4 linked regions of the Anolis sagrei genome follow. The protein of the gene in region 3 purifies or fractionates together with the protein of the main gene of each other region. This does not show direct contact. Links are inferred from orthologs where the notes say so. Each region holds a gene or a part of one and is shown on either strand. Other genes may lie near its edges.

Region 1 (7,033 bases), on a different chromosome or scaffold from region 3:
TACACATACACTTAAATGTAGAATATATTATATACACAACGCACAACATATTAATTTGATAATCGGCTTGATTATATATACATATATACACACGCACACATACACTTAAATGTAGAATACATTATATATACAACACAACGTATTAAGTTGACAATCGGCTTGAATACACACACGCGCACACATATACACACACATACATACACATATACACATACACTTACATGTAGAATACATTATATATACAACTCAACCTATTAAGTTGACAATCAGCTTGAATATATATATGTATATACACACACACACACACACACATAAACACACACATATATACACACATACATACACATATACACATACACTTAAATGTAGAATACATGATATATACAACACAACCTATTAAGTTGACAATCAGCTTGACTATATATATGTATATATATATATACATACATACACATAAACACACACATATATACACACACACATACATACACATATACACATACACTTAAATGTAGAATACATTATATACAGAATTCATAACCTATTTAGTTGACCAGTGACTTGAAGACACATATACTTCCAAACCACAAGTGCGGACTACATATACATACATACATACATACATACATACATCCAAATGAAGTCAGTTTGAAGTCGTATACTTCCAAAACTGTGTGTCTACATGTATATTACACACACAGAGCCTATTAAGCCAAACTAAATATATGATGTTATATGACAGTAACAGTATAGATCAAGGAAGTGAGGACTAGCCAATCCTTCTACACTGTGAGATTAATGCAGTTTGACCCCACTTTAACCGCTATGGCTCAAGGCTATGGAATCCTGGCAGATGTATGTATATCTATATATGAGGGATGTATGTATGTATGCATGTGTGGGTATACATATGTGTGTGTGTGTCTATATATATATATAGGAGATGTGTATGTGTATAGGTGTCTTGGAGATAGATGTGTGTATATGGGAAGTCTATATATATGTATATATGTGTGTATATATATATGGGAGATGTGTATGTATGTATGGGAAATGTGTGTGTATATATGTGTGTATGCATATATGTTTATATATAGAGAGAGGAGATGTGTATGTATATGTATATATAGTAGATGCATGTGTGTGTGTGTATGTATATGTATGTATGTATGTATGTGTGTGTGTGTGTGTGTATATATATATATATATATATATATATATATGGGAGAGGTATGTGTATATATATAAGAGATAGCCGCCCCGAGTCCCCTCTGGGGAGATGGTGGCAGAGTATAAATTTTATTATTTTATATTTATATATGTGTGTTTGTGTATGAATACATGAGAGAGGTACGTATATATATGTGTGTATATGAATATGGGAGATGTATGTTTGTATATTTGTGCATGTGCAGCTATATACATATATATAGATATGAGAGATATATGCATTTATTTATGTGCGTTGTGTGTGTGTAGATGTAATAAATAAATAAACATATATAGGAAGATGCCAGTATGCAGTGTATACATGCAGTGTATGTGTGTGTGTGTGTGTGTATGTATACATGGGAGAGGTATGTATATATATGTGTGTGTATGAATATGGGAGATGTATGTTTGTATATTTGTGCATGTGCAGCTATATACATATATATAGATATGAGAGACATATGCATTTATTTATGTGCGTTGTGTGTGTGTATATGTAATAAATAAATAAACATATATAGGAAGATGCCAGTATGCAGTGTATACATGCAGTGTATATGTGTGTGTGTGTATGTATACATGGGAGAGGTATGTATATATATGTGTATATTAATATGGGAGATGTATGTTTGTATATTTGTGCATGTGCAGCTATATACATATATATAGATATGATATATGCATTTATTTATGTGCGTTGTGTGTGTGTATATGTAATAAATAAATAAACATATATAGGAATATGCAGTGTATACATACGTGTTTGCTATATATATATGTATGTATGTATGTATATGTATGAAACAACTGACCCACAGGTTTCCGATGCAACTCCAAAGCCGAATTATTTCTCAACCCAACCTTTGGACAGGGAAGGCGAAACTCCGAGCACCTCATAGTCTTGAGCCTGGGCAGTCTGAGTGGGGTCGAAACTGTGTTAAAATTGCAGTGTAGACGCATCTAGTAAATTCATGAACATGTAACACTACGCCAGAGGCGATGATGCATGGTTCATATAAGTAATAGCTGACAGGGAAGACCTTTTATGCCGTGCATGAATGTATTATCTTAGAGATCCTGAGGCAGGGAGTTCCGCAGGTCAACAGGAACTGTTTTTTCCCCATAGCATCATATAGATCTTAGAGATCCTGAGGCAGGGAGCTCCATAGGTCAACAGGAACTGTTTTTTCCCCATAGCATCATATAGATCTTAGAGATCCTGAGGCAGGGAGCTCCATAGGTCAACAGGAACTGGTTTTTCCCATAGCATCATATAGATCTTAGAGATCCCGAGGCAGGGAGTTCCACAGGTCAACAGGGACTGTTTTTCCCATAGCATCATATAGATCAGGCATGAGCCCACCCTCCAGGTGTTTTGGACTCCAACTCCCACCATTCCTAACAGCCTACCGGCTGTTAGGAATGGTGGGAGTTGCAGTCCAAAACACCTGGAGGGAGGGCCCAAGTTGGCCCATGCCTGATCTATATGATGCTATGGGAAAAACAGTTCCTGTTGACCTGTGGAACTCCCTGCCTCGGGATCTCTATAGATCAGGCCCATGCCTGATCTATATGATGCTATGGCCCAATGCAATGGGATCCCCAGACTGGAGAGCCACAAACAACAGGGATCGAGTGGATCCTTCCCCATCTCCCTCCCCCAAACAGTCCCCCCAAAAATCTCCCCCCTGGAGATCAAGGAAAACAAGCCAGCCGCCCAATCAGGAAGCAACGTGAGCATCCTCAATGGGGAAGCAGCTGTTGCCTACCTTGCCAAGCCCAGCCAGGATTCCTGAATGGGGAAGGAACGCCCCTCGAAGGGGATTGGCTGGGGGGAGGGGAGTGCGTCACAGCCGTGGGCGGGGCGGGGCGGGGGGAAGCCACGCCCCCTTCGTCTAGTGGGTTTTTGGGAAGCTAGAGAGAACTAGATAGCAAGATGGATAGATAGAAAGATAGATGGATGGATAGATAGATAAAGAAATCAAGATAGATAGAAAGGTAGATAAATAGATAGGATAGATAGAAAGATAGATGGACTGATAGATGGATGGATGGATAGATAGATAGGTTGGATAGATGGACAGACAGATGGACAGATAGAAAGATAGCTAGATGGATGGATGGATGGATAGGTAGGTAGAAATCAAGATAGAAAGATGGACAGATAGATAGATGGATAGCAAGATAGAAAGAAAGCTAGATAGGTAGGTAGGTAGATAGAAGGATCCCGCCTGCCTCACAGGCACGTCTGGCGGGGACGAGAGAGAGGGCCTTCTCGGTGTTGGCCCCCCAGCTGTGGAACTCCCTCCCTGCTGACATCAGACAGGCGCCCTCCCTCATGGCCTTTCATAAGGGCCTGAAGACGTGGCTCTTCGAGCAGGCTTTCAACTGAGTGCTATGTTACTGGAAATGACAACCGGAATGAATTTACGACTACGAGATTGATTATGATTCCATAATATGACGCAGCGGATTTTTAGTGTAATTTAAATGTTGTGTATTAGTGATGTTAGTTTGTTGTCCTGATTGCTTTGTAAAGTGTCTTCTTTGTATTGTACACCGCCACGAGTCGCCCTAGGGCTGAGAGCGGCGGTTAATAAATGCAAGAAATAAATAAATAATAAATAAAATAAATAGATAGATAGGATAGATAGATAGAAAGATAGAAAGCTACATAGAAAGCTAGATGGATGGAAAGATAGATAGAAAGGAAGAAAGATAGATAGATAGGAAGATAGATAGAAATCAAGATAGATATAGATAGATGGAGCCCCCGGTGGCGCAGTGGGTTAAAGCACTGAGCTGCTGAGCTTGTTGATCGAAAGGTTGTAGGTTCGATTCCGGGGAGCGGCGTGAGCTTCCGCTGTCAGCTCTAGCTTCTGCCAACCTAGCAGTTCGAAAACATGCAAATGTGAGTAGATCAATAGGTACCGCTCTGGCGGGAAGGTAACTTTGCTCCATGCAGTCATGCCGGCCACATGACCTTGGAGGTGTCTACGGACAATGCTGGCTCTTTGGCTTAGAAATGGAGATGAGCACCACACCCCAGAGTCAGACATGACTGGACTTAATGTCAGGGGACTACCTTTACCTTTACCTTATAGATAGATAGATAGATAGATAGATAGGTAGATAGATAGATAGACAGTAAGAAAGAAAGACAGACAGACAGAAAGATAAAGAAATCTAGATAGGTAGATAGATAGGATAGATAAATAAATAGATGGACTGATAGATAGAAAAATGGATGGATTGATAGATAGGTTAGGTAGATGGACAGAGAGATAGATGGATAGATAGAAAGATAGAAAGCTAGATGGATGGATGGATGGATAGGTAGATAGATAGATAGATAGATAGTCAGGTAGAAAGATGGATAGATAGAGAGAGAGAGAGAAAGATGGATGGACAGATAGTAAGATGGATAGATAGATGAATAGTAAGATAGAAAGCTAGATAGATAGGTACACAAATAGATGGATGGATGGATAGATGAATGGATAGATAGAAAGGAAGAAAGGTAGAAATCAAGATAGATAGATAGATAGATAGATGGATAGATAGATAGAAGGCTAGATAAATAGAAAGAAATCAAGATAGAAAGATAGATAGAAAGGTAGATAAATAGATAAGATGGATACAAAGATAGATGGATAAATAGAAAGAAAGAAAGCTAGACAGATAGAAAATAACTAGATAGATAAATAGAAAGAAATCAAGGATAGATAGCTAGATAGAAAGATAATAGAAAGATGGATAGATATATAGATGAATAGATAGAAAGATAAATAGAAAGATAGAAAGAGCGCTAGATAGGTAGATAGATGGATAGATAGAAAGATAAATAGAAAGATGGATAGATAGGATTGATAGAAAGATGGATAGAAAGCTAGATAGATAGATAAATAGAAAGATAGACAGAAAGGCTAGATAGATGGATTAATAGAAAGAAATCAAGGATAGATAGCTAGATAGAAAGATAAATAGATAGAAAGGTAGATAGAACTGCTAGGTTGGCAGAATCTGGGGCTAACAGCAGGAGCTCACCCCACTCCCCAGATTCAAACCTGCAACCTTTCGGACAGCAAGTTCAGCAGCTCAGCACCACAGGAGGCTCCATATACTGACAGTGTATTTTATATATTGTGGTATAATAATATAATAAAATATAATAATATATGACAACTGTATATCTTACATGTAATATTGCTAATAATATTTCAGTATAGTGGTATAGTACAATATAGCAATATATAATACTAATATTGTGCTATGCTAAAATATTGTATGTATAATATTGATATTATAATGTAATACAATATATATAATAATATATATAATGGCTTAAACCTCTGTGGCAACAGGACTGAAGACCGACAGGTCGCAGGTTCGAATCCGGGAAGAGTGCGGATGAGCTCCCTCTGTCAGCTCCAGCTCCACATGTGGGGACATGAGAGAAGCCTCCCACAAGGATGGTAAAAAATCAAAACATCCGGGCAACGTCCTTGCAGATGGCCAATTCTCATACCAGAAGTGACTTGCATTTTCTCAAGTCAGTCCTGACACGTGTGTGTGTATATGTGTATATATATATATGTGTGTGTGTGTATTGGTATAATATAATTATATATATAATATTATATTATATATATATAATATATATATTATATATATTAGTATATAGTAATATATACTAATATTGTAGTATGCTAATATATTGTATATACATATATTGGGATTATAATGTAATACAATATACTAATACAATATATATAATATAGTAAAACAAATATAGTAAATATAATTACTATTGATAATATATGCAATATTGTTTTATTATTGTATATTTGAGGTTCTAATGTTTTTGATTGTGAGCCGCTTTGAGTATCTGTATGGAGAGCTAAATTGGGATATAGATAAATAAATGTACACCTAGTGGGAATTTGTAAATTAATTATTATTATTATTTTATTTAATAATAATCCCTTTTCTAAACTGTTTGGAACTCTTTGGCGCTCCCAGTGGACACAGTGAAAACTGCACCCTTGATCAAAGCAGATAAAATGTGCCTCTATGCCGCCCTCTTGAGGCCACATTGGAAATCGCACTGCTTTATTTATTATAATTATATATATTATTATTTTATAATATTTATATTTATAATATAAAAGGCACTGCCACAATAAAGAGAAGGGGAAAAAAGAAGTGAAAGAAGAGAGGAGGAAATAAAAAAAGAAACAAGGAACAAGAAGCTTTGATTGGATAGAAAAGGTACATTCGACACATCCGGAAATGGTGAGTTGTCTGTATACTTTATTTCCGTAAATACAAAACAAAAAAACAAAACCCCGAAACAAAAACGGATGTCGCCATACAACAGCGAACTGAGAACATTTACAGTTATCTCCAATTCGGATTTGATCAAGTTAATGTTAAATATTTTGTTTATTAAAAAAAAACAAGGAAAAAAGAGAATAGATTGTAGTAAATAAAAATGAAGAATATGCACATTCAATAGAGCTTATTTTCCAGTAAAAAGTTACTGAGGTTGGTTCGGATGCTGCTCTCTTCTCCAGGGAATAGAAAAGGAATGAGGAAAAGCCAACAGAAGGAAGGAAAGTGGGGCAAAAATAATGTTGTGTTGGGATACCTAGAACCCATTGTACTGGGACACCTGGAATCCATGGCAAACACATGGCATTGGGATATCGAGAACCTCCCTGCAAAGAATAAGAGGCTTCTTTACAGCCTCTCCCATTCCATCATCCTTGGGTTACCTAGAACCCATGGAATTGGGATACCTAAGACTCACAAAATTGGG
Region 2 (7,260 bases), about 33 Mb from region 3:
CAAGGGAAAGCTCAGGGTTTGGGTTGGAGGTGGGAACAAAATCCCAGGAGGAACTAGGTTAAAATAAGATGTCTCCCAGTTCCTCCTGGAATTGAAGGCACTGTAGAAGGGCCCTTAGACTCTATCTAAACTGCCATATGATGAAGTTAAACTGGCAATCCCCAAGTTACAAACATTCAACTTACAAACAACTCATAGTTACAAACTGGGGTGAGACAACCAGAAGTGAAAGAAATCTACTCCTGGAAAGGGAAAATAATTTCTGGAAGAGGTAACATGGCAAAAAGGTGTCTCCGTGGAAGTTCTCATCAACTCTTGTATCCACAAGCTAAATTTTTCAAAATCCAATTATCACAGGGACAGAAAATGAGGTGAAATCTTCTGAACAGGGGCACAGACAGCAAAACAGGGGCACAGACAGCAAAATCTGACCACCTGGAGTGCTTCTGGTGTTGCCGCAAGGAGATCCTCCATTGTGCATGTGGTAGGGCTCAGGTTGCATTGCAGCAGGTGGTCAGTGGTTTGCTCTTCTCCACACTCGCATGTTGTGGATTCCACTTTGTAGCCCCATTTCTGAAGGTTGGCTCTGCATCTCGTAGTGCTAGAGCGCAGTCTGTTCAGTGCCTTCCAAGTCGCCCAGTCCTCTGTGTGCCCAGGGGGGAGTCTCTCATTTGGTATCAGCCATTGGTTGAGGTTCTGGATTTGAGCCTGCCACTTTTGGACTCTCGCTTGCTGAAGTGTTCCAGCGAGTGTCTCTGTAGATCTTAGAAAACTATTTCTTGATTTGAGTCATTGATGTGCTGGCTGATACCCAAACAAGGGATGAGCTGGAGATGTCTCTGCCTTGGTCCTTTCACTATTGGCTGCTACTTCCCGGCAGATATCAGGTGGTGCAATACCTGCTAGGCAGTGTAATTTCTCCAGTGGTGTAGGGCGCAGACACCCTGTGATAATGCGCCATGTCTCATTAAGAGCCACATCCACTGTTTTAGTGTGGTGAGATGTGTTCCACACTGGGCATGCGTACTCAGCAGCAGAGTAGCATAACGCAAGGGCAGATGTCTTCACTGTGTCTGGTTGTGATCCCCAGGTTGTGCCAGTCAGCTTTCATATGATATTGTTTCTAGCACCCACTTTTTGCTTGATGTTCAGGCAGTGCATCTTGTAGGTCCAGAGTGATTCCAAGGTATTTGGGTGCGCTGCAATGCTCCAGTGGGATTCCTTCCCAGGTAATCCTCAGAGCTCGGGATGCTTGTCTGTTCTTAAGGTGAAAAGCACATGTCTGTGTTTTAGATGGATTAGGGATCAGCTGGTTTTCCCTGTAATAGGCAGTAAGAGCACCTAGAGCTTCGAAGAGCTTCTGTTCTACCATCTCAAAGCTCCCTGCTTGAGTGGTAATGGCACGATCATCAGCATAGATGAAACTCTCTGTCCCTTCTGGCAGTGGCTGATCATTTGTGTAAATGTTGAACATGGATGGAGCAAGCACGCTCCCCTGAGGCAGGCCGTTCTTCTGTTTCCGCCATCTGCCTCTCTGGCCCTGGAACTCAACAAAGAAACTCCTGTTTTGTAGCAGGTTTCCTATGAGGCGGGTGAGATGGTAGTCCTTTGTGATATTATAATTTTTCTCAGGAGGAGGCAGTGGTTCACAGTATCATAGGCTGCTGACAAGTCGATGAAGACAGCTCCTGTGATCTGCTGCCTTTCAAAGCCATCTTCTATGTGCTGAGTCAGGTTCAGCACTTGCGATATGCACCTTTTGCCTTTCCTGAAGCCAGATTGCTGTGGGATCAGACAGGGGTCTATGTTTTCCATAATTCTATGCAAAATAAGTCTCTCCAGAACTTTGTAAAGATGGCGTAACAGGGAGATTGGTCTATAGCTTTTTGGATCATTACGGTCTTTGCCTGGTTTCAAGATGGCAATGACTCTTGCTTTCCTCCAGATTTTGGGGATCTGACAGGATGCAGTGCAGTTGTTCATCAGCTCCAGCAGCCAGTGTCTTGCTTTTGAATCAAAGTTCTTGATTTGTTCCATCCGTACATCATCCAGGCCAGCTGCTTTGCCATTTTTACATTTATTGAGAGCCATGTCCAATTCTGTAGATGTAAAGGGTTCATGGAGGTTGTTGTTCTCAATCTCTTGTTGTCTGGCTATTGGTTTCTTTCCTACTTTGGTGGCAAGGTTGGGTTTCCCATTCTTCAAGAGTTGGTGTGCTATTTGATCTGCCTTTATGTTGGCATGGGTATTAGTTTGTGAGCGGTCGTTGCTCAGTCGACCCGTCAAAGCCGACCCCTTAAAAAGATAGTGTATTGTGTGCAGGGCCGTAGCCAGAAAACAAATTCGGGGAGGGTTGACAATTTTGGGGGGGGGGGTTGAAAATTTGGGGGGGGGTTGAAAATTTCGGGGGGGGGGGGGGTTGAAACCTGCCTCCTAGCTCACACTGAAACGAAGAGCACAGCAGGGGGCAGAGCAGCCTTCAATTGTTGTTCATTCGTTCAGTCGTCTCCGACTCTTCGTGACCTCATGGACCAGCCCACGCCAGAGCTCCCTGTCGGCCGTTACCACCCCCAGCTCCCTCAAGGTCAGTCCAGTCACTTCAAGGATGCCATCCATCCATCTTGCCCTTGGTCGGCCCCTCTTCCTTTTGTCTTCCACTTTCCCCAGCATAATTGTCTTCTCTAGACTTTCCTGTCTCCTCATGATGTGGCCAAAGTACTTCAACTTTGTCTCTAGTATCTTTCCCTCCAGTGAGCAGTCGGGCTTTATTTCCTGGAGGATGGACTGGTTGGATCTTCTCGCAGTCCAAGGCACTCTCAGAACTTTCCTCCAACACCACAGCTCAAAAGCATCGATCTTCCTTCGCTCAGCCTTCCCTAAGGTCCAGCTCTCACATCCGTAGGTTACTACAGGGAATACCATGGCTTTGACTAGGCGGATCTTTGTTGCCAGTGTGATGTCTCTACTCTTTACTATTTTATCGAGATTGGACATTGCTCTCCTCCCAAGAAGTAAGCGTCTTCTGATTTCCTGGCCACAGTCTGCATCTGCAGTAATCTTTGCACCTAGAAATACAAAGTCTGTCATGGCCTCCACGGTTTCTCCCTCTATTTTCCAGTTGTCAATCATTCTTGTTGCCATAATCTTGTTTTTTTTTTTTGACGTTTAGCTGCAACCCGGCTTTTGCGCTTTCTTCTTTCACCTTGATTAAAAGGCTCCTCAGCTCCTCCTCGCTAGCCCCTGTCAGCCACCTCCACCAAGTCTGGCCTCCTTAATGAGAGCATTCAACACCCCCCCCCCCCCAACTTGGTTGCTTCACTACATTGGCTATTGCTGCAAGTAATGACAGTGTGAATAAATTGTCAATATTTGCTTGAGATAGTGCTTACAGTTCTGGAGGGACTCTTAATTTTTTGCATCTCAGACTTAGCATGGGGATTTGGTTAACCAGTTAATATTCATGAGTAAACCAGGTTTTTTAAAAAAATCTGAAACATTTCGGGGGGGGGGGGTTGAACCCCTAAAACCACCCCCTCGCTACAGGCCTGATTGTGTGCCTTTATTTAATAGGATAAAGGCACACAATACACTATCTTTTTAACATCCATACCCGATGATGAACCCAGTGGCCTTCGAAAACGTGTGCAATGTGTTGGGGGCCTTTTATTTGGCCTAATAAAGGGACCACTTCAATATGTTATTTAGATTTTCCTGCATTTTCTTTCAAAATCATTATGTGAGAGCTTAAGAGGGAGAATGGGCTTGGAGGGGAACTATTTTGTAGGGATTTCGTCCAACAAAACTGCCCGCCTTTTGCAAAACCCTTCAAAAAGGAAGAAAGAGGAAAAGGCGCGCGAGGCCGGAGCCAACATTCTCTGGGGTCTCATCCGAAAAGCGTCTCTCACAGCCAGGGAAAAGAAGCCCTCTGCGCTTGCGCACTCCGCACATGCTGATTGAGCGAGGTCGAGCACAGCAAGAACGGACCGCTTCGTTACGCAGACCGTACCATTGTGTCGTCGAAATTGAGGGGGATGAAGAAAAGAAGTTGATAAATTTTCGCTCTTTCTTTCAAGTGTAAAGGGCTCTGCCTCAGGAACTCTCTGCAAGTTACCATGTTGCCTTCGTTTGGTACCGGAGCGCAATTCTATGCCTTCGAAAAGGCGGGGCCTGAGAGTGCGTTTCCCCGCTCCTCCCCCCCTGCGGGTGGTTCCTTCCTCGAGTGGCACGAGCCCGCGGCTGGAGGAGGCGGGGCCGGCTTTTTCTCACGCAGCTGCGTCGCCGCCTCAGCGCCAGGCATCTCTGCTGTGCCCTGCCGGCCTCGCTTGATCCGGAGGTAGCTGGGGATTCCCTCAAGAGGCGGCTTCATGGCATACAGTCAGGGAGGCGGCAAGAAGAAAGTCTGCTACTACTATGACGGTAAGAAAAGTGGGGTTTCTTTCGCGTTTGAGGGGTGTGTATGCCTTTAAGTCTGTGAGAGAGCGCCTGAGGGTGAAACCCCCCCCCCCTTTTGTGCTCCGGCGCGTCCGTTGGTTCTGTGTACTCCCCGTGCGCGCGCCCCATCCCCATCCCCTGCGCGCGCCCCCTCTTCCTCCTGTCCTCGCGCGCCTTCTTGCCCCCCCCCCTTTTTTTTCCTTCCCGGCGCACGCGCCGCCTACAGCCCCGCCCCCTCCCTCCCTCCTCGACGCCCCCTCCCCTTTTTCTGTGCCTCTCTCTCTCCCCCCCCCCCCCCTCAGACCTATTGTGTCTGTAGAGGCGTCTCTCCAGAGTCCAGACGGAAGTTGCTAACCCAGACTCTTTCATCTCATTTTTCCTCCCACCTCCACCCTCTTATCTCTTGCATCCTCTTTTCTGTTTGTGAATACTTGGCTGCTAAAAGATAGCACTGGGATGGATGCAAAGGTATCCACCTGGAATGGAGGCTATTGTCATCCCCCCCCCCCCCGGATTTTGCATTGCAGGTATCCCAGGAAGCATCGGCACTGTAGAATAAATGAAGTTTTGACACCATTGTATTTTATAATTCTACTAGCCGTCCCCTGCCATGCGTTGCTGTGGGCCAGCTTGGTGATCTGGAAAATAAAGTAATAAGGAAGTGATGGTTTCTAATATATGTATTTTCTTTATGCTTCTGGGTAAACAGTATTTCTTGTTTCTTTTTCAGTATTGATGTAGAGATTGTCTGGTTTGCCTACTCTGGAACATGTAACATAGAATTGTCCTTTAGGAGTCCCTTTAAAATCTATGAAACTATATCTGTCATATTCATATGTATGTGTGTGTGAATCATATATAACTATCTATATATGGCTCTTTGTCAGGAGGGCTTTGGTTATGTTTTTTTGCCCGGGTGAAGGGAGTTGGGCTGGATGGCCTTCACCCAGCATTTCTCAACCTGGGGGTTGGGACCCCTGTGGGGGTCATGAGGGGGCGTCAGAAGGGTCATCAGATAACATCAGGAAACACAGTATTTTCTGTTGGTCATGGGGGTTATGTGTGGAAAGTTTGGTCCAGTTCTATTGTTGGTCGGGTTCAGAATGCTCTTTGATTGTGGGTAAACTATAAATCTCAGCAACTACAACTCCCAAATGTCAAGGTCTGTTTTCTCCAAACTCCATCAGTGTTCACATGTGGGCATATTGAGTATTCATTCCAAGTTTGGTCTAAATCCTTGATTGTTTGAGTCCATAGTGCTCTCTGGGTGTAGGTAAACTATAACTCCAAAACTCAAAGTCAGTGCCCACCAAACCCTTCCAGTATTTTCTGTTATTCACGGGAGTTCTGTGTGCCAAATTTGGTTCAAGTCCATCATTGGTGAAGTTCAGAATGCTCTTTGATTGTAGGTGAACTATAAATCCCAGCAATTACAACTCCCAAATGACAAAATCATTTTTTAATATATATTTATTTTTCAACATTTTCAAGAGAGAGAAAAAGGCATCCAAGATTACAGTGAAAGTGGAGCAACAGTGTGCTCGCCTTAGAAAGAAAGGAAAGAGCAAGAAGAGAAAAAAAGGAGGAGAGGGGAGGTGATGGCTTCCTGTTCGATCCACAGGGACGTAAACAATTGTGTCCATTTACTTTTCCGCATTATAACTTAGTTACTTTTCTCTATATTAGTTGGTATATCCTTCATCCGTAGAGTTGGATTTGCATATCTTCCTGCATAAACCTTCTCAGAGGCTCCCAATTCGTCTGTTTATTCTTATTTTTATTGTCAATGTATTGTGATAAGTTGTCCATGCTCATATAGTCTAGGATTTTGTTTATCCAATCACCAATTGTAGAGGGTCTTTCTCTTTCCATTTTTGGGCAATTGTCGTTCTTGCCGCAGCTGATATATAAAAAAACATCTTTTCGTTTTCACCTAAATTCAAGTTTGTTATGTTCAAAAGATAAAATTCCGGTTTCAACTCAAATTTCACCCTAATAATTTTTTGGGTACATTTGTGTATTGCTGACCAGTAATTTTTGATTGTTTTGCACCCCCACCACAAATGGAAGTGGGTGCCTAGCTCTTTTTCGCATCTCCAGCATCTATTAATTTTTATTGAATTTTGATATTTGTAGAGGTGTCAGGTACCAGCGAAAATATATCTTGTACCATCCTTCAATTATATTTGTAGCTTTCGTGAACCTTAACTTCTTCCAGATGTTCTCCCAATCTTTTAACAATATTGGATGGCCAATGTCAATGGCCCATTTTGTCATATTTTCTTTTATTCTCTCTTTTTCCAAGTCCCATTCTAACAGGCTTTGGTAAAGAGTTTTAATTAATTTTTGATCCTTTTTCATTATCTTATCCCAACTTGATTTCTTGGTATTGAACCCTACTTTTCGATCTTCTTTGAAGCATTCTTTTGTTTGCCAATAGTGAAACCAGCTCATTTTTCTGTCATATGTAGGCATGCCATCCTCTTCTAAGGTCCCACCCCTCTAGGGTTAACATTTTTCTGTTTTGTAGGGTCACCCAGTCGTTGATCCAGGTCAGAGCACTCGCCTCAAAATAACGTTGCAAATTAGGGAGGGTGAGGGCAAAATCAATTTTTTGAGTGATGGTCACTCATTGGGTTGTTAGGTGTATTCTGTCCAAATTTAGTGTCTATCCGTCCAGTGGTTTCTGAGTTATGTTAATCCCACAAACGAACATTACATTTTTATTTATAAAGATTTAAATGTTTAATTTACCTACATTGTTTGAAGGCATCAAATAGTTGCCTAAGTGTAAGCTGCCTTGAGTCCCCCTCCAGGGTGGAGAATGGC
Region 3 (7,701 bases):
TACTTAGTATCAACATTAAGACAACCCGATGTAAGATGCTGGCTGTGATACTTCTGTGTTTATCTGAAAGTCTCTTCCATCTTTTACACTGGAGCTAAATAATCTGGATTTCCCCAAACACTCACAACAGAGGGTTGTTGTGAGTTTTCTGGGTTGTATGGTCATGCTCCAGAAGCATTCTCTCCTGACATTTCACCCACATCTATGGCAGGCATCCTCAGAGGTTGCGAGGTCTATTGGAAACTAGGCAAGTGAGGTATGTATATATGTGTGTGTGTGTGTGTGTGTGTGAAATATTCAGGGTATGAGTTGTGAGTTTTGTTGGAAACTACGCAAGTATGGTATATATATCTGTGGAATGTCAACCATAGCAGAGCACTTGATGAACCAACTTGGACACAACGTATTATTTCAGAATATAGAAATGCTGGACTACTCTTAACAGCCATCATGTCAGACTACACAGAAAAGCCACTGAAATCCATAAGCATGTGAACAATTTCAACAGAAAGGAGGAAACCATGAAAATAAACAAAATCTGGCTATTAAAAAACACCAAAATCAGGACACTAAATAAAGAGCATCACTAAAAAAACTGGGGAATTACAGACAAGAAATAATTAGGGCCAGCTAACACCTCCCACCAAAGGATTCCCCCGGACAGGAAGCAGCCAAGCTTTGAAGCTATTAAATGCTAATCAAGGTGGAGAATTGCAACATTCACACTTGCCACAAGCAGACAAGAATTCTTTCTCACACCCTGGACACATTTCACACACACACACACACACACGCACACGCCTCACTTGCCTAGTTTCCAACAGACCTCACAACCTCTGAGGATGCCTGTCATAGATGTGGGCAAAATGTCAGGAGAGAATGCTTCTGGATCTTGGCCATACAGTCCAGAAAACTCACAGCAACCCAGTGATTCCGGCCATGAAAGCCTTCGACAACACACCCACAACAGGATTTGTGTGAATCTAGGAAAAACTAAACTTGCAAAATGCCAACCTCAAAGAACAAAACTTACACCTAACTTCTTATATGGCAGGCATGGACAAACTTGGGCTCTCCAGTGTTTTGGATTTCAACTCCCACCATTCCTAACAGCCTACCGGATGGATTGCCCATGCCTGTTATATGGTGTTTCAGAAGTTAGCCTTTTCATCTTAATGTATTGGGTTAATAAACTTTTAAATCCATACACAAGCCAATTCTGCACTGGTTTGTCCAAAAATAAAATAACACTTTTTGTGAGATTGCAATCAATAGCTTATTGCCAATTGACACTTCAACCACTTAAGGGCAGTCTCATGATCTTGTTTCTCTAACTGTTTTTCCAGCAAATACTTAATTACATTCACTGTAATAGCCACAAAGGGAAACAGAAGATCTGTAAAATGTATATGAATGCATGACATTTGGATGCAAGTAAAGAAAAATCAAGAATGTGAAAAATTCAAAAAAACCGGCAGTGACATTACACCTCACGCTGTTCCACAAAAAGATCCACTAAACTGCTAGAAGTTATCAGTAACAAGAACTACATTTTCCTCCCACTGTTTTGTATAAAAGAATATACAATGTACTATTCGACTTGTTGCAGAGTTCTCCTGGGCACAAAAGAACCTCCTTTTGCTACAAAACATATAAGATAGTTGAGGTGTATTCTGACAACAAAATAACCTGTGATGGATTGATATGGATATTTGATTACTATCTCTATGATCTACCCACGGTTTGTTGTTGAAGGCTTTTATGGTCGGAATGACTGTGTTGCTGTGAGCTTTCTGGGATGTATGGCAATGATCCAGAAGCATTATCTCACGATGTTTCGCCACAACTATGGCAGCCATCCTCAGAGGTTATGAGGTTTGTTGAAAACTAGACAAGTGGGGTTTATATTCAATGCTAATCAAGGTGGCCAACTGCAACATTCACACTTGCCTCCCACAGACAAGAATTCTTTTTCCCTCTGTGGACATTCCACAGATATATAAACCTCACTTGCCTAGTTTCCAACAGATCTCACAACCTCTGAGTTTGCCTGCCACAGATGCGGGCGAAACGTCAGGAGAGAATGCTTCTGGAACATGGCCATACAATTCGAAAAACCCACAGCAGCACAAGAATCAAAATTTATTATTATTTCAACAGAAAGGAGGAAACCATGAAAATGAACATCTGGCTACCAATATTTATAAAGTCTAAATTCAAAACAGTAAATAAAGAACAACATTTAAAAAGCAGGTGAAATCCAGATAAGAATCAATCAGGGCGAGCTAACACTCCCAAAAAAGGATCCACCAGGCAGCAATCAGCCAGGCTTTGAAGCTACATAGCCATTAACTGCTAGTCAAGGTGGCTATTCACACTTGCCTCAAACCAACAAGTTGTTTTTCCACAGATATATAAACCCCACCTGCCTAGTTTCCAACAGACCCCTCAACCTCTTAGGATGTGTCTGCTATAAATATGGGTGAAACATCAGGAGAGAATGCTTCTGGAACAGGGCCAGACAGCCCAGAAAACTCACAGTTAACCAAGGTTTACTTCATAGGCTCATCTTGACTTATTCTCCACTCCTGTTATTTGATGGGAAACCTTTTCACACAAATGCCATGTTCCTTTGCCTCATACTTTGAACACAGATATCTACATAACAGAGTATACAGGAAATACTATGTTATTGTTATTATAGAAACATCAAATGTGCTGTAATGTCAGTTTAACTGGAGCCTGACTTTTGAACAACTAGACAGATCCTGTCAATATAAGCAAATACAAACATTTACCTGCAATAGTGGTAAGTTTAAGATTTGTATTTTAATGTTGTATATAAAAAAAATGACATCACAGCACATTTGATGTTTCTATAATAACAATCTATATAAATAAAAATGTAATGTTCGTTTGTGGGATTAACTCAAAAACCACTGGATGAATTGTTGCCAAATTTGGCCACAAGACACGTACTCACCCAAGGAATGATCATCACTCAAAAATATGATTTTGTCATTTGGGAGTTGTAGTTGTTGGAATTTATAGTTTGCTTACAATCAAAAAGCATTCTAAACTCCACCAATGATGGAACTGAACCAAATGTGGAACACAGGACTCCCATGACCAACAGAAAACACTAGAAGGGTTTGGTGGGCATTGACCTTGAGTTTGGGAGTTGTAGTTCACCTATATCCAGAGAGCACTGTGGACTCAAGCAATCTGGACCAAACTTGGCACTGATACCCAAAATGCCCAAATATGAACACAGATGGAGTTTGGGGGAAATAGACCTTGAAATTAGGGAGTTGTAGTTACTTAGATTTATAGTTCACCTACAATTAAAGAACATTCTGAAGCCCACGAACGACAGAATTGGGGCAAATTTCCCACACAGAACCCCCATGACCAACAGAAAATCATTAAGGCCATCCAGTCCAACTCCCTTCACCGGGGCAAGGAAATGTAATCAAAGCCCTCCTGACAAAGAGCCATCCAGCCATAGATATAGATAGATAGATAGATATGATTCACACACAGAGAGATATAGTATTATAGATTTGAAAGGGCAATGATACGTTGCATGTTCCAGAGTAGGCAAATCAAACACTATCCACATCAACACTGACAAAGAAACAGCAAGAAATACTGTTTACCCAACAAGCATAAAGAAATTCCATATATTAGAAACCAACACTTTCTCATTACTTTATTTCCCAGATCACCAGACTGGGCCACAGCAACGCGTGGCAGGGGACAGATAGTAACATATTGTTTCCTGTATATTCCTCTTCCTCCTCAACAAGTGAGGAGACTGAACTCACGAAGTTACTCTCAAGGCTTCCAGATTGTCATAAAAGAACATCCCCTGCCTTCACATAACATGGAATGACTTACATCCCTATATAATACAGGCGCCACTCCACGTTTAGAATGAATCTAATTTTCAGCGATGAAAAAGAGGTCTTCAACAAGCCAGCCGCATGACACACCGTATCTTGGAAGCCTCCGGAAAACCAGCCAACCTCCCGCTTGCCTGCGCCTCCTGCCGTCTCTCTCCGCCCGCGGCCCCTTTAATAGTCGCCTGCGATGGTGGGCGGGGCTTGGAGCAGGGCGGGGAGCAGCGGAGGTGAGGTGGGGGGGGGGTCTCCCGAGGAAGGCTCCGGCTCGCGCGCCCTGGCCTCCTCCGCCGACGGGCGCGAGCCCTTCTCCCCTCCTCAGGCGCCGCTCGGTCCCGCTTGGTGGTCTCCGGAGCGGAGAAGGCCAGGCCCCACCCCCGGGTCCCTTCCGCCTCAGTCGCCACCTTCGCTCGATGGGGGGAAAATGCGCCACCGGAGCGCCTTGGCGCAGGCGCGGGCTCCTCCCACTCCTCCCCTTGCCGTAAGCCCTCTCCGGCCCTCTCCCCCTCTATTTGCTTGCTCCGCTCCCGGTGCATTTCGGGAGTTGTAGTGCAGCCGGGTGCACAATCCCCGCCGGAGTCTGCGGCAAAAGGTGACAGCGGAGGACCTCACTACCCAGAAGGCACCGCGGGGGCCGAGTCTCTGTTTCCATAGAACGGCGGTGAGAATTACATCAGTGTTTCAGCTCGAGAAGCTAATGGCGTGGAGGGAATGGGCGGGCTCTGCGCCTCGGCAACCAATGGCGTGCCGGTAAGGCGGGGAGAGGGCGGGCTTTGCGCCGTCAGTCACTCCTGGGTCTTGGGGGAGGGGAGTGAGCAGCTCGGAGGGGAGCCGCCGCCGCTGCTGTCGCTGTCGCCGCCGCCACCGGGGCTGGGACGGGAGGGACCGCTGCCCCCCCTCGCCCGCCCGCCAAAGATTTCTCCGCGAGCGTGGGATTACTATTCTCCTCCTCGACTGCCCAGGGATCGGGTCCAGCGTTGGGAGGAGGCTCCATCCTCCTCGCGCCCCCCCTCCCCCCGCCTCGAAGGTTTGGGGGGACCCGCGAGACAGAGAGAGAGGGAGAGAGCGCGCGCCGCGGAACAAAGGTAACGTTGCCCTGAGCGAGACCTTCCCTGAGTGGAAGGAAGGAAGGAAGCCCTTTGAGGAGAGAGAGAGAGCGAGGAAGAAAGAAAGAAAGAGAGAGAGGGGCGCTTCTCCGGTGTGTTGTTTTCCTCGTCGAGTCCCGCCGATTCAAAGCCCCCCCCCCCATCTCCTTTCCTCCCTTCCCCATACATACCGGAGCCTGGAGGTGGAGGCCAAGGAGGCCCTCGAGCCCTCTCCCTCCCTCCCTCGACCGAGCTGCGGCTGTTGCTCAAACTCCTGCCGCGGAGTCAGCGTTTGAGGAGGCAGAAAGAGAGAGAGAGAAAAAGGGAAAGGAAGAAGGGGAGCAAAGGAGAGGAAGGGAGGGAGGGAGGTGGGGGCGGTTTGGGAAGCGGCGCGGACGACGACGGGGAGGAGGAGAAGGAGGCGAGCCGCTTCCCGAGCCGCCCCCACCTTCCTTCCTTCTCATTCTTTCCTTCTCCTTCATTTCTTCCTCCCTTCCCCTTCCTTCCCTTCTTCCTTCCCCTTCCTTCCCTTCTCCCCTTCTCCCTCCTTCTTCTTTCCTTCCTTCTCCTTCTTTCCTTCCTTCTTTCCTTCTCCTTCTTTCCTTCTCCTCCTTTCCTTTTCCTCCATTCCTTCTTCTCCTTCATTCCTTCTGCTTCCTTCTATCTTTCTTTCCTTCCTTTCTTCTCCTTCTTTCCTTCTCCTTCCTTCCTTTCCTTTCCTTCCCCTTCCTTTCCTTTCCCTCCCTCTTGCCTTCCTTCCTTCTCTCTCTCTCTCTCTCTCCCCCGATACAATGGCGAGGCCTCCCCTCCCTCCGAAGAGGCGAAGGCGGGGAGCGGTGGCCGGTGAGCCGCTTGTTGTGAGGCCGTTGGTTGTTGTTGTGGCAAGTTTCTCCTCTGACAGAAATGGCGTCAAAGGAAGGCGGCAGCGAGAGGGGGAAAGCGAAGCCGCCGTGTGTGAAAGAGAGAGAAAGAGAAAGGGAGGAAGAAGGCCAAGCCGGGGGGGGGGGGGGCGAGGGAGGGAGGGAGGAGCGGGCTTTGTGTGTGTGTGTATGTGTGTGTGGAAGTGGGAGAAGCGCCCCAAGAATACTACATATCCCCCCCCCCCGAAAGGGGGAGGTGCGGCGGTGCCTCAGTGCTTTGTTTTACATTCCAGGTCCTCAGCCGCTCGACCTCTTTTCGGGTTTGACTCCTGCAGTTCTTCTTCATCATGAAGGTAAAAAACCCCTTGCCTTGCCTGTCTGTCCCTGTTGTGCGGGGAGAGGATGGGAGGGCGGTTATGTCTACTACTCCAGCTCTGCCTTTTTTTCAGTGCTGTGTTTTCCAGAGCCAGGCTGCTTGCTGCCGGTTGTTTTCCTCTCTTGAACATGTCGTCGTGTGTGTGTGTGTGAGGCAGGGCTTGGCTTTTTTTTTTAAAGCCTCCTCTTCGGCTGCAGAATGGAAAGCAAGCCAGCGAGCCGGAGTTTGCCTCCTTTTCCAAAGGGAAGGAGGACATGGCTGCCTGGTGTATAGTTTGGTGGGAGGGAGAGGAGGAGGAGGAGACAGCATTGGCTGTCCCTCAGAAAGGTCTGGTTGAAACAGTTGTGTTTTGTGCATAGATCAGGCATGGGCAAACTTGGGCCCTTCCAGTGTTTTGGACTTCAACTCCCACCATTCCTAAGAACCTCAGGCCCTTTCTCCCTCATGCGCTTAAGCTATTTGACAGCATAATATTGACTACCTCAGAGTATCCCAACTCTAAAGATATTATAAATCTCTTCCTAATATCTTCCACTTCCCCAGTTTTTTCCCCTCTCATCAAATTAGTCACATTGCTCAGAATATAGCAGGCATGGGCAAACTTGGTCCCTCCAGGTGTTTTGAACTTCAACTCCCACCATTCCTAACAGCCTCGGGCCTTTCTTTCCTTTCTGCTTAAGTGGCTGAGGGGGAAAGGGAGGGGAGGGGGCCTGAGGCTTTTAGAAATGGTAGGAGTTGGTCCAAAACACCTGGAGGGCCCAAGTTTGGCCATGCCTGGTTTACATGAAAGGATAGAGCCCTTTTGTATCATTTAGTGTTGAGATCAATATTTGGAAGCACCTTCATTAGATAGAAAACCACTGGTTTTTTTGGTTTTTTTAAAAATCAAAGCCGCTTTTTAACTATCGGATGCAGAGAATGTTTATATAGCATGTACGTTTTAGCTAGCCCCCAGTGATGCAGTGGGTTAAATCACTGAGCTGCTGAACTTGCTGACCGAAAGTTCGGCAGTTTGAATCTGGGGAGTGGGGTAAGCTTCCACTGTTAGCCCAGCTTCTGCCAACCTAGTAGTTTTGAGTAGATCAATAGGTACTGCTTCAGCAGAACGGTAACAGCACTCCATGCTGTCATGCTGGCCACATGACCTACAAGATGTCTATAGACAGTGCTGGCTCTTTGGCTTGGAAATGGAGATGAGCACCACACCCCAGAGTGAGACATGACTAGTGTTATTGTCAAGGAGAAACCTTTACTGGTGGCCAAGTGTTTTGAAACAAACGAGATGGAAACAATGTTCATACTGTGCTTCTTATTTAAAAGAGATGAAGAGAAAAGACAAAGTCTCAATGATTTTCTCATTTGATAAGCCCAAATCATCTTAAGACTTTGTCTCTTCTGTACAGCCCTTCCATTGCGTGTTATCAGTCTGGGTTGCTTCTCCTTATTTTTTGAACCTGTGTTGATTATATTCATGGACT
Region 4 (6,828 bases), on a different chromosome or scaffold from region 3:
GCAGCACATTTTGCTCTAGTTTTTCAATGAATATCTCATCATTTAGTCTCAACCAATTCAACATATAACCCTTCCAGACAGGCCCTATATCCCAGAATCTGATCCCATGTTTTCTACTTTAAACTGGGGGCTCTTCCATACAGCCCTATATCCCGGAATATCAAGGCAGAAAAGCCCACAATATCTGCTTTGAACTGAATTATCTGACTCCACACTCAGATAATGTTCATAAAGGGAAAAGGGGGCATGCAGGATTGGGGAAAGATTGGCCTTTGTCATCTGAAGTTCATAAGGGAAGACATGGTTATAAAATATTATTTACTTGGCATTCCCTTTTGCTAGCCTCAGACAGAAAGGCCTTGGAATCCTTTGTCTGTAGGTCATTGACTGGTATAGGGGACAATTAGCACAGTTGTTAATTCATGGGTCTGCTTAGGTAGGCCAAAGGTCAAATGCCTTTTGTGACAGGGTTACCAGTAAATATAGCAATTACCTTTTGTTATAAATATGTAAAATATAGGGCATAAATCTTGATTAAATGTACACACAATTTAACATGGGAATGGTCCTTGTTGTGGTTGTTAGTCCTTCTGCAGATTGGCCAAAACTTAACTCTTATTATATCATTCTGATGTTGAACACGAATTTGGAAGGCCCTGCCAAGGCAGAGACCAGCTAGACCCAAAAGGGGGATCCAAAACATCTGGCAAGACAGCAAGCACAAAGAAAGATTTTCCCTTAATTTCCCAAATAAAGTCTCACCAAGTTGAAGGAAAGCCACCGAAGTTTTTATTTCATTCCAGTTGGAACGGATGACGACTGCAGTTATCTGCCTGAGGAGCTGACATGCTCACTGGGCAAGGAAATAAAATATTTATAGAACTGTCAAATTCAAATCTCCCGTGCCCACCTCCTGGTGGTTGGAGTATCAGCTGACTGGGAGGAGCAGCCGGGGAGGCTGCGTTCTGTCCAATCAGAGCACTAGCCCCGCTTCGGCCACTCAGCCAATGAGTGGAGAGGAAAGCGGGCCAGAAGGGAAACAATGAATGAATGAGTAAAGTGATGAGATTATGAATGGCCTCTTCCGCACCTGTATTGATAAGAGGGCCAAAGCGATAGCTTAGCTCTCAAGCCTCAGCCCAGACTATTGTCCTGAATCTTGAAATATCATCTTTTGTCTGGCCCCAAAGGATAGTTCCATTGTCTTATAATCCAGTGATATTTACTTGATGATGAGAGAGTTTTCACAATGGGCAGTGACACATAGGTGCCTTCTGTGTTGAATGTTTTAACGTGTCCATGGGTCACATCTTCCTGGATGGTCTGGTTAATGAGACCCTCCGAAGTCCTGGAGAGGGGCCATTGGTCCATGCAAATTGTTTTGGTCAAGTCCTTTTGTTAGGGGATTACTGGCTCAGGAAGTTGTGGAGTCCCTAGAGCCATGAGTTTCTGGCATGGTTCATGAAAAGGTCACTTTGCTTCATAACTTTTATACATACACACATATAATGGATGGTGGCACTGTAGGGGCAAAAACGATCAAGATAATCCACAAATCCAAAATCCAAGAGCAGATTGCCCCTTCCCAAGGAGGGCGAGGAAGGACACCACGAAAGTTGAATCTTTAAAACTGCAAAATGCTATTTATTGTGCAGCTGAAGCAATAGTGACAAACATGCATATAGAAATGCAATAAAGGGATTTGTCCAACCTAAAGTTGGTTGCATTGATTATTTATGACTTTCATTAAAACAGTTTGATTGGTACATAGAAATCAATCATCTCATTGGTTCCCAAAGACAAATCATTTCATTGGTCTAAGTTAACTATGCAGTTCATTAGTTGTTTGTGATTTTGATTGACATTATAGCACACGTGGGATCCTAACAATGGCACAAGTATAACATAACTATAGTCCATTGTTCTCTGACCATGACTGTATCTTATCTGTTAGTCTGTTGCAAACATGGCTTCAGAGCGACTGGGAAACTTGGGGGTTCTATCTAGCAAACAGCTAGCTGGTTTTGTCCGGATATGTTGTTACCCTTGAATAGTAACTTCTTCTTTGGAGCACTGATTTCTCAAACAATCAGCATTTTCTGTGAACAAAGGCCTACTGCAGAAATAGGCCAATATGGCAGTAAATCATGACATATGGGCATTGGGGAAATATATGAAAATTCCCTTTTTAAAACCACGTCCCCTCCAGCACGAGGCATATACAGAGATCATATGAGAAAGGGGGAGGCATGCAGGGTCAAGGGGGAATTCATCTCAGTCACCCCAAAGTCCATAAAGTTCATGAAAGTTGGCAAGAAGTTAATAAAAGTTCTCAAAGGTTTCAGAAAGTTCATGAGAGTTCATACAAGTTAATAAAGGTACCGAGTAGCTAAAGTCCATTAATAAAAACAGGAGGTTCATTCATAAGTCCAATTCATAAGTGGCGAGATTGGCCTGCCAGTGGTCGGGGGTCCCAAGGAGTGACCACAGGAGACTCCCCGGGTTTGAGAGGCTTCCAAGTCAACGTGCACAAGAAGAACAGGTTGTGTGGAGCCATGGAAATAAACCTTCCATGCAGGCATGTAGCGGGGGGGGGGGGGGGGGGGGGGGACAAATTCTCATGGTGGTTCGCGAAAAGGCCTTACTGGTGCATTATTTAAACTGTTATGTTTATTCATATCATGATCTGATCACCATACTCAATATATCCCATATGCATGGGGGTATTCAGATAATGATACAAAAGGTTTGCTAGTCTAGACCCTCTTTCACTCAGACTCAGCCCCCCCCTCGAAACTCAGCCCCCCCCCCCCCGAAACCCCCCTGAAAATTTTTTACCCCCCCCCCCCCCCCCGAAACGAAATCCTGGCTACGGGCCTGGTTCCATGCAAAGAGGTGGATCTCCGGGCGCAGGGGTCCATTCAGCAAAAAGTAAGATAGCAGTTAGTCTTAGAATTGACCCAGGAAAAAGATGACATTGATTTGGAGTCGATCGGTCAACCTGCAGACACCAGTGCCAAGCTGGTTTCCGTATCCGCGGTTTGAAGGATCGCAGTTTCGGGCTCCCCAGTACATTGTAAGAGTGTCGCAGGTGAGCCAGCGGAGTTCCGCGGCTCGGGAAGAGGAGGGTTCATATTAATTGGTGTTAGAGTCAGTAAAGGGACACAATGTATCATTGCAGAGAGAGAAACATTAGAGAAAATAATACTTTTTATTGGGGGGATTGTTACAATGAAGCGGGGGGGGGGGGGACTAGGAGGGAGGAAAAAGGTTTCTCAATTGAAGCTGTTACTGGAGCCCCAGTCCTTTGGTTCATCTTGAAAGTCCATGTTGTCAGGAACTGTGGAACTCCCTGCTGCATTCAAATCAGTTTGAAGGCGGGGGCCTCTGAGTTCGACCTCAATTCCAGCTTGCTGTCCTTGGCAAAACTATGAATTCCCTGATTATAAACTATCTTTTATCGGGGGGGGGGGGGTCACTTCCACACAGCCCTATATTCCAGAATATCAAGGCAGAAAATCTCACAATATCTGCTTTGAACGGGGTTATCTTAGTCCACACTCAGATAATGTGGGATTTCCTGTCTTAATATTCTGAGATATAGGGCCGTGTGTACGCCCTAACTGAACGCGGAAACACTTCACGAAGCGTGTGGGTCCATGACTGAGTCGAGTCTATGTTCAAGGCACTAAGAGATGGACGGCACCTGTGCTTTCCGCCTAAGGGAAGCGCTGCGGTCCAAAACTAGTGATGACAACGAGCGCGGGTAAAGACGCGCGAAGGCTTCACGGAGCGCATGCGCAAGACGAGGAGGCGGGGGAAAGATCCGGAAGCGGCTTGTGCGCCTGCGCGAGGGAGCCGAGCTGCTCCTTCGCTCGCTGTGAGGCGAAGGAGAAAAAGAGCGGGTCTCGAAGGGGGAGGGGAGGGGGCGCGCGCTCTGCGCCGCTTTCTCCGCCGCTTTCTCCGCGCTGCGGCCATGAGCGTCGCGGCCTTGGTTTCCCCCGCCCTGCCCTCGCCGGGGCCGCCCCCTCCTCCCACCGCAGCCGTTTCTACGACCACGGCGCTTCCCCCCGGGACAGGCCCCGCCCCCGCCGCCGAGAGCTATGAGGAGGAGGACCTAGACAGCCCGCTCGACGAAGAGGATGGCGAGCGGAGCGGACGCGCACGGGACTCCGACGAGGGTGAGTCTGGAGCGGCTTCTCAGGGGGCATCCACACTCCAGACCTAACGCGGTCTCGTGCCGCTCTCTTTGCCCCGGCTCAATGCTGTGGGCTCCCGGGAGTTGTCGTTTGTCGAGCCTTTGCCAGGGAAGGCGCCGGACTTGGTGAAACGAACAGCCCGAGGGATTCTGTCGCCTTGGCAGTTCCGCTGGTTTCGAACCGCGTTAATCCGACAGTGTAGGTGTCAGAGCGATGGTGCGAAGAGAAAAGGGAGATGTATTGTCGAAGGCTTTCATGGCTGGAATCACTAGGTTCTTGTGGGTTTTTTCGGGCTATAGGGCCATGTTCTAGAGGCATTTCTCCTGACGTTTCGCCTGCATCTATGGCAAGCATCCTCAGAGGTAGTGAGGACCTCACTACCTCTGAAGATGCTTGCCATAGATGCAGGCGAAACGTCAGGAGAAATGCCTCTAGAACATGGCCCTATAGCCCGAAAAAACCCACAAGAACTTAGAAAAGGGAGAGCTCGCAACGCTTCCAGGGCCCCTTCCATGCCACTTTTTAAAATCGTACATTATCTGCTTTGACCTGGAATATATGGCAGTGTGGACTGAGGGCCCTTCCGCACAGCCCTATATCCCAGAATATCAAGGCAGAAAATCCTACAATATCTACTTTGAATTGGTTTATCTGAGTCCACACTCAGATAATGTGGGCTTTCCTGCCTGGATATTCTGGGATTTAGGGCAGTATGGAAGGGCCCTCAGATAACCCAATTCCACACAGATTTTGTGGCGTTTTCTGCCTTGATATTCTGGGTTATATGGCTGCGTGGAAAGACCATGGGTTCTCCGAGTCCACACTTCCAGATCACACTGGGTCCTTCCACGCAGCCGTATAACCCAGAATATCAAGGCAGATAATCCCTAAGGCTATGCTTTGAACTGGATTATCTGAGCCCACACTGCCAGATAGGGCTTTTACCCCAGGATCTGATCTCAGGTTTTCTGTTTATCCCAGATTATCTGGCAGTGCAGACTCATAATCCAGTTTAAAGCAGAAAACTTGGGATCAGATCCCAGGTTATATGGCTGTGTGGAAGGCCCCCCAGAATATCAAGGCAGAAAATTCCACAATATCCGCTTTTAACTGGGTTATCTGAGTCCACACTGTTATATATTCCAGTGCAAAACAGATAATGTGGGATTTTATTCAGCTGTGTTGAAGGGGCCCCTTTCTACACTGCCATATAATCCACATTCTCAAAGAATTGGATTATATGAGGCCCTGTCTACACTGCCCTGTATCCCAGGATCTGTAACCATGGTTGCTCTTTATCCCAGGTTATTTTATTGTGGTGGTGGTGGTGGAGGATGTCACATAACTGTCACCTCTGGTTGCTTGATAGATCCCCCCCCCCCATCTTGATTGACAGTTGCTCGAGGATTCTGGTTGCTCAGGTTCCCGCTAACTGAGGGGCCTTCCGCACAGCCCTATATCCCAGAATATCAAGGCAGAAAATCCCACATTATCTGAGTGTGGACTCAGATAACTCAGTTCAAAGCAGATATTGTGGAAATTTCTGCCTTGATATTCTGTGTTACATGCCTGTGTGGAAGAGCCCTCAGAATCTGCTGTTACAATTTTTTAAAAATCTAAACCGAAGCAACCTGGGATAGGTTTGTGGGAGCAGATAAACCCAATCTGTGTAGAATCCTGGGATTTGTAGTTTGAGAAGCCACCAGCAGTCTCAAGGCCTTGCCAAACTACAGTTCCCATGGTTCCCTAGCAGTGAGCTGTTGAACTATTCATTTGACAGTGTGAGAGAGAGCATCCCGTCTCCCTCCCACACTGCCTTTCCCTTTTTCCTTTGTGCCATGTCTTCCTTAGATTGGAAGCCTGGGGCAGGAAACTGTTGGGTTCTTGTTTTTGCAAAGCCTGGCGCCATGGAAACAGATGGAGGAAATCAGGATGCTCTTCACCCCCAAAATGTTCCCCAATTGTCTGCGTGAGCCGGTGTGATAGCAACTCTTCTGCTTTCACGTGGCTTGATATAAACAAACCATGCTTCATGTCCAATGTTTTGTTTTTTTTAAAAAAACATTGTGCATGTGAAACATAAGAGGATTTTGTGTTTAGACCCAAGATATCTCACAATATATGTGCAAATATTCCCCAACACCTCTGGTCCCAAGCATTTCAAATAAAGGATTCTTGAGCAATTATTATAATAGATGTGACATTCCTATTGATCTGTCTCTAGGGTTTGAGTATAGAAAGAAATAGAAATCAAGACCTGGTAATGGGTTTCAGACCAGCCTTCCCTTTATAATACTAAGTAACACAATTTTTGTTCCTGGGTTATAAATGTCATTCCTGATTAGTTCTTTCATAAAATATGGAAAAAGTTTATTAAACTGCATCTTGCAGCACATTTTGCTCTAGTTTTTCAGTAAATATCTCATAGAGTCTCAACCAATTCAACGTAATTTGTGGCAGCCACAAACATGAAGTTTCTGTATAACAGCTCCTTTAAAAGTAAGCACCGTACAATCAAACAGGAACAACACTTTCAAACCAGGAACAGAACATTTTTCAAAATTTGTTACCTAGGGTAATCAACTTAGTTTCTTTACAATGGTAAAGCAGATGCCCAGATCCCTTGTCA

The links.
Region 1: the proteins of ARID4B (region 3) and SIN3A purify together in Homo sapiens (affinity purification with mass spectrometry; 5 studies listed by BioGRID, with this or other methods). This does not show direct contact. The link is inferred for Anolis sagrei from reciprocal best matches to the Homo sapiens genes ARID4B and SIN3A.
Region 2: the proteins of ARID4B (region 3) and HDAC2 purify together in Homo sapiens (affinity purification with mass spectrometry; 4 studies listed by BioGRID and IntAct, with this or other methods). This does not show direct contact. The link is inferred for Anolis sagrei from reciprocal best matches to the Homo sapiens genes ARID4B and HDAC2.
Region 4: the proteins of ARID4B (region 3) and SUDS3 purify together in Homo sapiens (affinity purification with western blotting; 3 studies listed by BioGRID, with this or other methods). This does not show direct contact. The link is inferred for Anolis sagrei from reciprocal best matches to the Homo sapiens genes ARID4B and SUDS3.

The regions. Positions count from the first base shown.
Region 1 is NC_090029.1:8,581,266-8,588,298, forward strand, and holds the start of SIN3A (paired amphipathic helix protein Sin3a), read right to left. Parts: upstream 3,027-7,033; 5' UTR 2,982-3,026; intron 1-2,981. UniProt on the Homo sapiens protein: Acts as a transcriptional repressor. Corepressor for REST. Interacts with MXI1 to repress MYC responsive genes and antagonize MYC oncogenic activities. Also interacts with MXD1-MAX heterodimers to repress transcription by tethering SIN3A to DNA.
Region 2 is NC_090021.1:91,450,421-91,457,680, forward strand, and holds the start of HDAC2 (histone deacetylase 2), read left to right. Parts: upstream 1-4,249; 5' UTR 4,250-4,364; coding exon 4,365-4,416; intron 4,417-7,260. UniProt on the Homo sapiens protein: Histone deacetylase that catalyzes the deacetylation of lysine residues on the N-terminal part of the core histones (H2A, H2B, H3 and H4).
Region 3 is NC_090021.1:58,925,440-58,933,140, forward strand, and holds the start of ARID4B (AT-rich interactive domain-containing protein 4B), read left to right. Parts: upstream 1-4,689; 5' UTR 4,690-4,987; intron 4,988-5,178; exon of another isoform or gene 5,179-5,286; intron 5,287-6,140; 5' UTR 6,141-6,194; coding exon 6,195-6,200; intron 6,201-7,701. UniProt on the Homo sapiens protein: Acts as a transcriptional repressor. May function in the assembly and/or enzymatic activity of the Sin3A corepressor complex or in mediating interactions between the complex and other regulatory complexes.
Region 4 is NC_090034.1:45,536,967-45,543,794, forward strand, and holds the start of SUDS3 (sin3 histone deacetylase corepressor complex component SDS3), read left to right. Parts: upstream 1-3,820; 5' UTR 3,821-3,976; coding exon 3,977-4,181; intron 4,182-6,828.